3 linked regions of the Canis lupus familiaris genome follow. The protein of the gene in region 1 purifies or fractionates together with the protein of each later gene. This does not show direct contact. Links are inferred from orthologs where the notes say so. Each region holds a gene or a part of one and is shown in the gene's direction. Other genes may lie near its edges.

The links.
Region 2: the proteins of KHDRBS1 (region 1) and LCK purify together in Homo sapiens (affinity purification with western blotting; 5 studies listed by BioGRID and IntAct, with this or other methods). This does not show direct contact. The link is inferred for Canis lupus familiaris from reciprocal best matches to the Homo sapiens genes KHDRBS1 and LCK.
Region 3: the proteins of KHDRBS1 (region 1) and PLCG1 purify together in Homo sapiens (affinity purification with western blotting; 7 studies listed by BioGRID and IntAct, with this or other methods). This does not show direct contact. The link is inferred for Canis lupus familiaris from reciprocal best matches to the Homo sapiens genes KHDRBS1 and PLCG1.

The regions. Positions count from the first base shown.
Region 1 is NC_049223.1:68,522,098-68,525,998, reverse strand, and holds part of KHDRBS1 (KH domain-containing, RNA-binding, signal transduction-associated protein 1), read left to right. Parts: coding exon 1-80; intron 81-594; coding exon 595-662; intron 663-1,443; coding exon 1,444-1,502; intron 1,503-3,788; coding exon 3,789-3,886; 3' UTR 3,887-3,901. UniProt on the Homo sapiens protein: Recruited and tyrosine phosphorylated by several receptor systems, for example the T-cell, leptin and insulin receptors. Once phosphorylated, functions as an adapter protein in signal transduction cascades by binding to SH2 and SH3 domain-containing proteins.
Region 2 is NC_049223.1:68,360,180-68,364,556, reverse strand, and holds the start of LCK (tyrosine-protein kinase Lck), read left to right. Parts: upstream 1-1,557; 5' UTR 1,558-1,715; intron 1,716-4,377. UniProt on the Homo sapiens protein: Non-receptor tyrosine-protein kinase that plays an essential role in the selection and maturation of developing T-cells in the thymus and in the function of mature T-cells. Plays a key role in T-cell antigen receptor (TCR)-linked signal transduction pathways.
Region 3 is NC_049245.1:29,750,431-29,754,976, forward strand, and holds the start of PLCG1 (1-phosphatidylinositol 4,5-bisphosphate phosphodiesterase gamma-1), read left to right. Parts: upstream 1-1,726; 5' UTR 1,727-1,762; coding exon 1,763-1,979; intron 1,980-4,546. UniProt on the Homo sapiens protein: Mediates the production of the second messenger molecules diacylglycerol (DAG) and inositol 1,4,5-trisphosphate (IP3). Plays an important role in the regulation of intracellular signaling cascades.

The DNA.
Region 1 (3,901 bases):
CAGCACCAAGAGCACGGACAGCAGGCATCCAGAGAATACCTTTGCCTCCACCCCCTGCGCCGGAAACATATGAAGAATATGTAAGGAGTTGGAACAGTGTGCTGTTTCCCAATACCTAGAAGGTTGCCAAAGTTGAATGATAGGGCGTTGGCCTTTGACATAGGTGGCAGGGACAACCTATAAGAGATCTGGAGTCAGTCTCTTCTCTTGCAGTGAGCATTAAAATATGAGAAGATTTTTTCCATTTTAAGCAGTTTACTATGTGTGAATAGATTAAACAGGAAATAGGCTGTACCTTGATATGTATAGTCTTTTAGTAAGGGGTCTTTTTGCTAGTACTACTGATAATTCTCAACTTCAACTGTTTACCTTGTTTCCTGCCCACAATTTGAAAGATGATTTGGTTTGGTTGGTAGTTCAGTTTTGTTTCGTTTTTTAAAAAAATAACCCTTTCTCTCTCAACAATTCCCCAGTGAGTGTAAATTTTGGAGGGAAGTTTTGCATTGTTAATCTGGGAGTCTGCCATCCTCCTATGAGTTGTAATTACCTTCCCTACTCTGTGTGATTCTGACTATTTCATTTTATTTGTTCCAGGGATATGATGATACTTACGCAGAACAGAGTTATGAAGGCTACGAAGGCTATTACAGCCAGAGCCAAGGGTAAGTCAGGCAATAGAAGTGCTGTTTCGTGTCCTAGGGATGGATGGGAGGGAGTTTGAGCAACTGAGAGATTTAGGTAGGACACATCTAAGGAGCAGCGTGGCTCCCTTTTGGAAAGTATCGCCTTTACTTTCCATATCTGTAGGGCACACAGATCTATAAGCTTAGATAGCTGTGAATCTTAATTTACAGTGTAGAATTTGGGAATAGCAGATGGAAAATTACTGAGCTGTGACCGCATGGAAATGAAGGGAAAATGCCATTAAATTGTTTTGATGTATTCTTGTCACATTAAAAGTGCATTAAAGTTTAAAAGGAAGCCTAGAATCTTACTACCATAACTTGGGTTGTTTTGTGCACTCGTCTTAAATAATAATGTTTTTGTGTATACATATTTTGTCTGTGATTGATTGAAAAGTGTCTCATAATTATACAGTGGGGACAGGAACAGCATGTTTGTTTATTCTCTTCCAATGAGCCCTATAAATGTGTGTGTGTACACTATAATTAAGATGGTCAGTTTTGGATTATGCTCTCTCACTTTAAATTATGTGGCATCCATCTTTGCTATGGTTATCAATTTTTTTTTAATAATTACTAGCTCCTTAAAAAAAATAATTACTAGCTCCTATATGTTTTGAAATGTTTTCTGGTTTGGAGATGGGGCAGAACGAGCATTTTCCTGTCTTCCACACCTATTAAAATGACTGAAATGTGAGAGGAATGAGAAATGGAAACAAGAGTTACTCTAGCTCTCTAACGCTCTGTCTTTGGCTTTCAGGGACTCAGAATATTATGACTATGGACATGGGGAGGTTCAAGATTCTTACGAAGCTTATGGTATGTCTTTATTTCCATGGTGGGCAAAGTGTGCAAGTAAGTGCCTGCAGGAATGCTGGTGACTCAATTATTGGGGGCCACCAGTCACATACTGAAAGAGGAGCTTTTAGAAAGCTGAGATGTTGGTAGATGTGACAGTAGCTGTCCTTCTCTTATTGAAATTGTGTGATGTGGCATAGAAAGAGGAGCTCTTAAGGTGAAATGGGGTACTGTTACTCTTGGAAGGCTAAGTAGGTATCTTAAACTAGGGCTCAGGTCCAGCTTGGTCTGGTTGGAGCAGCAGACTTTTAAGTTGATGATGATCTTTTTCTACGTTAGACCAGGAGAGATGGCCAGGCCTAGGTCATGTTGCAGGGCCTTTGCTGCTGGTGCCTAGGCCACATTAGTAGATAATAAGAACTTAATCATATCTAACTTTATTCTCCAGCCCCACTTCATTTTTAGCAACGATTTTGGATCTCATTGAAAAGAATCTCAATGTAGAGGAAATGTTAGCTGAAAGAGAACGAGACGGCAAGTAGCTAGCCAAAAGCAGGTTGGGTGCAAGAAGAGTGCCTATCAGCCTCAGATCTGAGGCTATAAGAGCTAGAGCCAATTCAGCTCCTTACTTGCTTGGAGACCTCTCAACTCAGTCCCTGATCCCAAAGGACCTATAGAGGCTGGAATGGCAGTAGGACCAAGCTGTCTTCCCTGAGGTTTAGTTGAAAACACATTGCTCAAGAGTGTCCTCAAGAGCCAATTATGGCCCTGTGTTAATGGGCCCCAGAGGGAGTGCCATGTGGCAATGGGTGCAGAGAGAGCAGCCTTTTGAATGCAAGGATTTTCAACATACTTGAGGGAGTTCCAGAGTGCTTGGTGAGGGGCTCAGTAATTGACAGTTCATCTTAAGACGCTAGTAAACAGTCTCTCCTTACCCCTAGCTGAAAAGGAGGAGGTGGGGAGCCTCTTAGAGCTCCCACTGACAGACAAGCTGAGCTTTACTCCTCAGCACAGTTATGTAGTAGCCAGTCAGCTGCTTGCCTAGAGAAATGGTTTTTACCAATTCTAGCTAAATGGTACTGGACAGTTGCCATCAGTAATGCTGCACTGCTCTGAGGCCACCGTTTAAAAGGGCAGTGGGATTGCCCTAGGGCATTCCATCCATTGGTGAGGCGGCACAACGGGGCCTCTGTATGTGTTTGACTAAATTACATTTCTGTTTTGCCAGAAAAGAGACTGGACTGAAAGAGTCAGACTGCTTCTTTTGCTCCTGGTGTGATGTTGCTGCAGTTAATCTGTTATGATTTCTACCTTTTATAAACAGAATTAGAAAAATAAACTGTCTTGTTAGTACTAGAAGCCACTTGGAAAGTAATGGATGTACCTATCATACTAAGGGTATAAATAGGCTTGCATAGGGTTCTGTGGGACTGCGGGTCCATATAGAGGTTTTAGACCTGTAGAGATGGAGGCTCATATTTGTGAATGCAGGCAGCTGGAGAAATACATTGGGGATGAACTGGCATAGGTAAAGTATGGGGGCGAGTGGGAAGAATAAGCTCATAATCCCAACTCCTGTTCATAAGAGGTCAGCTGTAGAAGTAAGGGATCATGTCCCTCAGGCTTTTCCCTGTATCAAAGGAAAACCATTTGAGGATGTCAACCACGTTATCTGGCTTCTCTGGACTACTGCATGAGAAAGGAAATCATGAATTCTCCATCATATCAGTGTTATGAATACATTCAATTGTACTTCCCTCCGCCAGAGCAGTGGACCAGCTCTGCTGGTGGGGAGGCCTCATGAAATGTGGCCCTTGCTTGTTCCTCCCAGAGAGCCAGAGGACACTTCTTAACAGGGAAACCTGACTTACTGGTGGAAAGGGAGGCCACCTGATTTCCAGTCTGAAAGACCTCGCAAAGTTGCCACATTACCCAAGACTTTCTGCCAGATGCTTTTGGGAACGGGAAGAAGGACATTGTGGACCCACTGAGATTCATCTCCTTACTGTCTCAAGCAAGGTGTTGGTTTATCCAGGTTTGGGGGTTGGAGTAGATCATGTTGCCAGTGGAGAACCTCTTTGCTGAAGATGATTCCAGGCCTTTTCTGAGCTGTTTCCTTCTGTCCACTCAAAATTGCCCCGTTCCAGAAGGCCAAACAGAGCGAAAAGTGAGGACCACTGGGATGTGGCAAGACACGGGAGGGAAGCAAAGCAGTGTTTTTGGTGATCTTTACCATATGACCTACTCCTGCTCATCCCAGCATGCCAATGGCACATGGTTTATAAATTGTTCTTGCTTTCCCCACAGGCCAAGACGACTGGAATGGAACCAGGCCGTCGCTGAAGGCCCCTCCAGCTAGGCCAGTGAAGGGAGCCTACAGAGAGCACCCATATGGACGTTATTAAAAACAAACATGAGGG
Region 2 (4,377 bases), about 160 kb from region 1:
TGGAGGGAGAGGGAGAAGCAGACTCCCTCTGAACAGGGAGCTGGAGGTGGGGCTCATCCCAGGATCCTGAGATCATGACCTGCGCTGAAGGCAGACGCCCACCGGTTCACTGAGCCACCCAGGCGCCCCTCCACCATGCATTTCTAGCAGACCTTGAGGATGTCCCTAAGCTGGCAGCTGTTTCTTTACCTCTAAACTGGAAATGCTATTTCTTACTCCACAAGTAGTTGGGGATGTCTGAAGTGAGACAACACTTAAACACTCAAAAAACATGAACTCTCTCTTGCTGATCCTTGCTTCCGCCAGTGGTATGAATGCTGTTGTGCTGAAGGCCAGAGGGGCCTGTGCAGGGCTCTGGGTCACCATAGGTTTTTTTTACAACATATCTCCTCAGCCTTTGTTTCTGTGTTACCCTCTTTGTCTGACTTTCCAGCTCAGGCTTCCTCTTCCCCCCACCCATTTCCTGTCTCCCCCTTCCCTCTGCAGCTGAGGTGCACACAGCATCAGCTTCCACCTCACAAACCCCAACAATGCTCTGTGGGCTCCCCTCCCCCAAACTGCTCGCTAAGTGTGGGCTCCAGCAGTGGTGACTGTGACACATTTATACTTTCCTATGGGTGGGGCCAAGGCCCAGCTCTTGTGCCTCATAGAGACCGTCCAGAGTTCCTCATAACACTGATAACCTGGCACTTAACCTATGATGGGTGCCACCCTCAGCTTGGCCCAGGGGGAAGGGAGATTCTCAGCCTGCTTGCTGCTCCTGACAAGGCTTCTCTGTCCTGCCTCTAACAGAAAAGACCTGCCAGTCAGCGGCTGGCACCTGGGTGCCTGGGCAGGAGTGTTTGTCTGCCTTCCACCTGTTGCAGGAGATGGTGGCAGGCCCTACATGTCTAACAGGGGCTGTGACCTTGCCTCTTCCTGAATTAGAAGTGTCGCCCTGATGAGTGGGTGTTAGCCTGTCCTCTGCCCCCAGCAGGAGCTGTTAATCTGTCATTCTAAAGACACAAGGTGGTCTAGCCTGCTTGCTTAAACAGCTTGCTGTCCAGCCTTCTGTCTGTAAGAAGCTTACCCTCTGACTCTAGTAAAGTTGTTGTCCCTTGCCCTGAGATGGCATGACAGTTGCTAGGCAGCCGTACTAGCCTGACATCTGACTGTAGCATAGGATGTTTGGCTCCCCAACTATTTAACAGGGCTAGTGTTCTCTCCTCTGACTTGGAAATGGGGTCACCTTTGCCATCTCTAGACTGCAATGAAACGTTCACTCAGCTCTCAGACTGTGACAGCTGTGCCACTCGCCTTTCACTGAAAGCTAAGTGTGTGTCTGCTCACCCTTTGCTCACTGGGGTATAAAGGCTGCCCTTGACTCTCTTGTCCAGGTGCTCCCTGGGGGGCAGGAGGGAGGTTCCATCAAGTGTCCTCTCTTCAGCTCCAAGTGCCACCCTCAGGAGGGCCTGGAGATGGTTAGGACCCCCAGGGGCTGAGGAGTGGGGGGCTCTAACAGCAGGAAGCTTGGGGTGCCGGAGGCTTGTGGTTGGGCTGCTGGGGCCCGGTTGGCTGCGGAGCCCTCAGAAGGAGGCAGGAAGTCAGGGTGGGACGTGGGCGCGCTAAGACAGACGGTGGCCACCTTAGCAAGGGGAGCCAAAACCGTGTGTAAGCAGCCAGGCCAAGCCAGGAGGACCATGTGAATGGGACCAGAGGGCTCCCGGGCCGGGCAGGTAAGGAACACTGGGAACAGGGGTCTCAGGGCTGTGCTGGGAGCCTGACAGTGGGGGCTACACCTGGGCATGGGCATGGGGCTGGGCTCCCTGGGCATCCAGCAGCCCTACAGGCTGGGGAATAGAAAAATCTTGCTAGAGGTCAGGTGGGCCTCATACAGTTCAGCTGGATCACCTCTTGCCCCTGCCACACCGTCAGTCACTGGTCCCTACCTCACTGGGAGCATTTTCTTAGAGATCTGGCACATGGACTGTCAGGTATTTTAAAAAGGCCTCAGAAATCCCTGAGTTCAAGGGCACCTGGGTGGCTCAGTTGGTTAAGTGTCTGCCTTCAGCTCAGGTCATCATCTCAGGGTCCTGGGATCGAACCCCACATTGGGCTCCTCTGTCAGCAAGGAGTCTGCTTCCCCCTCTCCCTCTGCCCCTAACCCCACTCATGCTCACTCACTCTCGCTCTCAAATAAATAAATAAATAAATAAATAAATAAATAAATAAAATATTGAAGAAGAAAGAAAGAAAGAAAGAAGAAAGAAAGAAAGAAAGAAAGAAAGAAAGAAAGAAAGAAAGAAAGAAAGAAAGAAAGAAAGATCCCTAAGTTCAGCCCCTGATCCGATGATGGGTGAACATCTTGAGGCCCAGAGAAGGCAAGACCTCCCTCCCCACAGTACTCAGCAAGGCAGTGGCAGGGTCAGTCTCTGGGAGAGGGTGGTGGCCTAGGCTAGTACTACCCCCCACCCATGGGGCAGGGTGATAGGCTTGAGTCAGGGGACCCAGGAATCCTGTTGATTGCTGGGGCAGACCCCAGGGACAGGAATCGTCTGAGAGAGACAGAGTGAGATTGAGAGAGAGAGAGAGAGGAATCCCTCGGAACATCCGGATGGACACGTGAGAAGTGATTTTAGCCTCAGTGACCAGCAGCGCTGGAGAGGCAGAGGTGTCTTCTTCGGAAGCTGCTGGATACGTGAGGGTATGTTTATCATCTGGGATGGGCCTCCAGGGCGGAAGTGTCTGACTGGAGGTCAGGGAGTCGAAGGACAGAGAATGGGAAGGGAAGAGCAGAGGAAGGGCTATTTTTATCCGAGACTGGGGTGCAGTTGGCCCTGGGCAGAGAACGTCTGCATTTCCATCTGGAAAGTTGCCATTCCTGCCCCTGCTGAGTGTCATGGGATGCCCACCCCCTTCCTCTGGTTTCACCCCTACCCCCCACTGCATGTGTAGGACCAGTTGGTCCTACTGATTGCTGCTTCAAACCCCTGGGAAGTGGAGGCCCAGGAAGGCATAGTCAGCTACCTGCCCACCCCCTCACTTTCTTCTGAACCTTCAGTTTATGGGGGGCATCCCCATGTGAGCCAGACTTTCCAGGTTTCCCTCACCCTACCCTCCACCATTGGAATTTTTTTGACACATAGTTTCCACCTAGTCAGCAGCGTATCCCAGCCTTTCTCTTGTCCCCAAGTCCAAGGCTGGTAGCCTTTTGTGGGAACCCTCCCTGTGCTTCAGAGGGGCTCATCTACACCCTGGACTTGCACCTCTCTCATCCAGCATGTGCTGATAGATTACTCAGGGTCCCTTGCCTTCATGGCTCAGGGACAGAGGTTCTCCTCAAAGGGTTAAGGACCAAGTGATGGGCAAGAGAAAAAGGTGAGGTTCTCAGAGAACAGCCTTCCCTCAGGTGATCTGGAAGGCTCCCTGGAAGTCAACACAGTTCTGAGAAGGACAAAGGCCCATTTTGGAAAGAGGTTATGACATAGCCAAGGGCACTGTCCTTGGTTTCTGTTTCTTGAGAAGCAAGAGAATAGAGCAAGACCAAACACCAGACAGTTAATGGACATGGTATAGTGCAAAGAACATGGGTTTCAGGGTTAGGCCAACCCAGATACAGTTTTGGTCCTGGCATTTCCCTGAACAATATTGACTTCATCCTCCAGACTCCCAACTCCAGATCACTAATCTGTGAAGAGGCAATAATAAATCTCTCCCTTACAGAATGCTTGTGGGGACCTGTGACATGCCCTGGGTTGTACCTGACACATTGTAGGTACTTAACAGAGGTTAGGTAGTCCCTCCCCTGTAAATAGTGCACCAAAGGGAAGACTGTTCACACCCAGAATTACACCTATTCAGCACCTTGGCTGGCCAGTGCACCACCATTCCCTCACACTTGTGGTGTGGCTTTGCAAATAAGCTTGTTTCCTGTGTTTAGTAGGAGTGAGAACTCTAAGCTGAGCCACAGAGTCTGCTCAGCGTTAGATGAGAGTTCCCCACACACAACTTCACACTCACCCTATCCCAAACACGAGACATATCACCAGAAAATATATGTGTGCACGAATGGGCAGAGGCAGAAGCAGGTTCTATACACACAACATACACTGGATCTTAACAAATCTATACACACCCCCACAGGTCGGTGACTTCAAGGCCAAGCTCAGTTCAGTGAAAGCAATGCTGAGGGGAGCTGGGGGTGGGGGTGGGATGGGGGCCGGGAGGACCAACATACCATCCAGAGAGGTGGCCTCCAATAACAAACTTTGGTGTTGGCTTTAATGTAGCTGGCGCTGCATTTCCAACGCTTGCTCTTTTTTTCTTTTTTTTTTTTTTTTTTTTTTTTTTTTTTAATAAAGATTTTATTTATTTATTCATGAGAGAGAGAGAGAGAGG
Region 3 (4,546 bases), on another chromosome or scaffold:
TGGTCTGTGACAGGGGCCGCTACATCACAGGGGCAAGCCGAGGGAATGGCTTCGGGAAGGCAGAGTGTGGATTATTCAAATAACCACTAAAAGGCCTTGTGGCTAGTGCATGGAGAGGTGAAGGGGAGGTGCTGAGAGACGGCGGGAGACAGAGAAAGGGGGCCCCAGGCCACTCAGGGCCGGCCGGGACGGGAGGGAGCACGGGCTTGGAGTGCAAAGGCAAGTCCTGGAGGCGGTGGGGCCGGAGGTGGCCGATGGGGATTTAATTTCTTTTTAAAAAAATTAAAGCATGGATAGTAGATGCAGGTAAGACCAGGGAGAGTAAAGAGTCTGGACGAGAGAAGATGCAAGTCAGGCGTGGTGGGTGGGGTGGCGAGGGCCAACGGTGGCGCGGCCAGGCCGGCCCGCGAGGTGGCTGGGAGCCGAGGCGGCGGCGGCGTCGAGGACACCTCCGAGGGGCTTGGCCCAAGCACGTTAGCAGACCGAGCGCCAGGCTCGGGGGGGGGGGGCGGGGCAGTGCAGGGAGCGGGGCGCGCAGTCGGAGGGGGAGGGCGGAGGGCGGAGGGGAGTGGCGCCGCGGGGCAGCCCGGGGTGCCTGGTCTGGGAGTGAAGCCCTGGGGAGGTGGCGTCGCCTGAGCGCCCGGCTCCGGACCAGGCCAGCCGGAGAGAGGCTTCCGGGCCCGCGGGCAGCGGCCTGGGGGGAGGCGGGAGGAAAACACGCGGAGTGAGGCCGCGGAAACCCCTGCCAGAGGGGCGCGAGGAGGCGGGGCGTGAGGTGGCGCGGGCGGCGGGCGGCGGGCGGCGGGCGAGGAGCCGCGCAGGCGGAGGCCGCCGGGGGCCGCAGGTCTGAAGGCCCGACAGGCCGCGCTCAGGCCCGGGGGCCGCTCCGGAGGACGGGGCCGTCGAGCGCCCGCCACGCTCGCCGCAGGGGCGGGACGGACGAGGGTCCGGCGGTCGCAGGAGCGGCCTGCGGGGCAGCCCCGAGCGGCCCAAGGGGCGGGGCGGGGCAGGCCTGCTGTCCGTCAAAGCCCGCCAGCCAATCCGCAGGCTGCCCCGCCCCCGCCCCGCCCCGGAGAGGGTGCGCGGAGGGCCCGCCTCCGCCGCCGCCGCCGCTGCCCCGCCGCCGCCGCCGCCGCCGCCGCCGCGGGTGTGAGGCGGCCCGGCCTGGCCTGGCTGGCTCCCTCCGCCGGGCAGCCGCCCAGGTAACCGGGCTCGGCCGGCGGGCCGGGGCGCTCTGCACCCTCACCTTTCCTCCCGGCCGCCGCGCGGGCAGCGGGCTGAGGGAGCGGCTGCGGCCGGGCCTGTGCGGGACAGCGGGCCTGGGCGACCGCCCGTGCGTGTGCGACTGACTGACGGGCCGGCGCGGGGCTGCCGCCGCGTGACGGGGCCGGCCGGGGCGGCGTGAGGAGGGCGGCGGACGGAGCGGCGGGCCGCGGGAGCGCGAGCGGCGGGCGCGCCCCCGCCGCCATTGCGCCCCGCGTCCCTGCCTGGGCCTGTCCGGGGGTCGCGGGGCGCAGGCGCGGCGGGAGGCGGGCGGGGGTCCTCTCCACGGGCGCGCGGGCGCCTTTGTTCCCGGCGCGCGGGCCGGGGCGGGGCCTGAGGAGCCGCCCCGCCCCCCGCCTCAGGCCCCGCCCCGTCTCCGCCCGCAGGAGCCGCCGCCGGGCCCGCTCGCGGGCCGCCTCAGCCGCCTCAGCCGCCGCCGCCGCCGCCGCCGCCGCCGCCTGCTCCCGCCGGCCGGGCCTCCGCCCCCAGCGCCGGAGCCATGGCGGGCGCCGCTTCCCCCTGCGCCAACGGCTGCGGGCCCGGCGCGCCCTCGGACGCCGAGGTGCTGCACCTCTGCCGCAGCCTCGAGGTGGGCACCGTCATGACTTTGTTCTACTCCAAGAAGTCGCAGCGGCCGGAGCGGAAGACCTTCCAGGTCAAGCTGGAGACGCGGCAGATCACGTGGAGCCGTGGCGCCGACAAGATCGAGGGGGCCAGTAAGTGCGCCCGCTCCCTGGGGCCCGCGCGAGTCCGCTCCCGCTCCCGCTCCCGCGCCCCGCCGCCTCTGGAGTGACTTGGGTGAACTTTGGGGCCCTCCCCCGCAGCCTCCGGGCCCCGCCCCCGCCCCCGCCCCGGTGGTCCCCGCGGGCGGGGGGCATCCGGGTCCTCCGTCACCTGACAGGACACCCCCTCCCCCAGCCCGGGGGGTGCTCCAGGCGCTGCGCCCGGAGGCCTAAGAATCCCAGCGGGTTGGGGCCGGCGGGGCAGGCGTCGGGGGTGCCCCCCCCCCCCCCCGGCAGTGCTGGTGACTGGGGCGAGGGAAGCCCAGGCGGCGGCAGCCCACCCGGCCCCAGAATCGGGGGCCAGGCCGGACGGTCATCGCCCACCACCTTTTTTCCCCAGAAGAGTAGTCGTGGTGAAACTTTCTGGGCCCCCCGGGCTGGGCTCCATTTGCAAAGGAACCTTTGGGTTCCCTGAGTAGAATTTAGGCAGATGTTGGGGTAGGGCTGGCTTTGGGTCAGAGCCGGGCCTGCCCCCCCCCCCCCCTCCTCTCTCTCTCCCTCTCGGAGAGGGTGCAAGGTGGTCTTGTTTGGTTTGGAAAAGCCTGAGGGAAGGCAGCGGCTGCTTTTTCCCGCTGCTGCTTTTGTCTCGAAGCTGAATTTTAGAGGTCTGCGTGGGTGGGCCGACACTCAAAGCCAGGACCCGGACTCTTGGTAAAGAGGCCAGGCTTCTCTTACCCTTGGAAGCACATCCTCAAGAGCGTGGCCCAGAAAGGCCACCCTCCGTGCCTTAGAGTCAGGTACTTTCGAGAGTGTGCAGCCAATTTTGGGTCTAGCCCTTTGTGTCCTGCGTCCTGTGCTGCGTGGCCACGGGGAGCTGGGAGCGGCTACCTTTGGTTTCCTGCTGCTTGGCCTTCTCAGGCCTGAACTTGGCTGCTTTGGGACAGATCTCAGGAGGAGGGAATTGGGGATTTTGAAAAAGCCCAGATCCTTTCAGTGTTACTACACTTAATGCATCCCTGTGCTGTGGCCGGGTGGGCACCCAGCTCTGCCCTCCATTCCCCCACCTTCAAGTGTGAGAGGTAGTGTGTCTGCAACCCTAGGTTGTGGGTTGCTTCCTGCAAGGACTCCCCCCAGAGACTCAGAACTAGGTCCATGTGGAGGAGGGGCGTCAGGAAGTGACACCCCCATGGGAAGGCCCTACAGACCTTGGGTATCGTGTACATGTGTGTAGATGGGTGAGGAGATTGGGAGGAAGGAAAGTCTTGTGGTGAAGCAGCCACCCTCAACTACAAACTCCAGATCTGATACAGCTGCTGAACTCAGAAATGGCAACTGCCTTCCGCTGTGCCTCCATCAGCCCTGCCAGCTATGGAGAGAAGATTTTAGTGATTCGAGAGACTGGATTCCAAAATTGTGGAATGATAGACACTGCAGAGAGCCAGATAGATAGTCCTGGGGACTTCACCCAGGCATCAAGACTTCCAGGCACAGCCTCTTCCTTGCTTTTATAGTGCTCCCTATGCTCTGCTCAGTTGGTGGCACTGACCAGAGGTTCCCCAGTAGAGATTTCCTGGGTAACAGACTGCACTTCAAACCATGCATGTGATCAGCAGGCAGTACGTGCAGCTCTGTGGTTGAAGACAAGGCTGGATTTGAAGCCCATTGATTAGTTGTGGGCCACTTGCTTATCTAGCTAGTTACTTATTTTCTCTGAGCTTAGTTTCCTTATCTATAGAGTAGGAATGGTAAAATATATGCTATATATGGTTGCTCTGGAGATTAAATGAGAATTGGTGTAAAACATGTAGCACAGTGCTTGATACATTGTAAATGTTTAATAAGTGTGAGCTGTTTTTAATAATAACAATAGAAGTAAAAGAGTGTGACTGCCCTCCTCCATCCTGGACTATGAATGTTGAGGGAGGTGGACTATGGCTGTAGGAGAGCATGAGGGTATAGGGAGGGAGGAGGATGGGAACCAAGTTCACATTTCACTTAAAGGGAGGAAATGGTTTTGTTTTGCTTTAACTCCTCTCCTCACCCACCCACCTATCATACGTAGAATAGTACATGACAGTAAAATCATGGAGTAAATCTAGAGAGATTTGCACATCTGACTCTCGGGTGTGACTTGACTTATTTGTAAGTTGGGGCCTGAACAGAGGGATGTGGGGAAGAGTGAGTCTAGTCCGTGGTGTCTCAGGTCTTTGGGGGTTGGTGACAGGAATGCAGGGGATCCTATGGCCCCCAGCTCCCAGGGTAGGTCAGCTAGAGAAATACAGATTCAGTGATCTCATCAGCTGCAAGTGTAGGCAAAGAATATAGGAGCCTTGGCCCTTTGATTTTGGAGGCCCAGGTTGAAGGAGTCTGAGTAAAAATGCTAGTAGATGCTTGTGTAGGGTTCACACATTGTAAATGGAGCTTCTCACTGAAGCTCGCCCACTTCTGCCCATTCGTGGTATACTTTGTTGGTGACTTCTGATCCTTGCAGCCCCCCTACCCTACCCCCCCCCACAGGCTCTGAGGAAGGTTGGGCTGCCAGCTGTGTCCCCTACCATCTG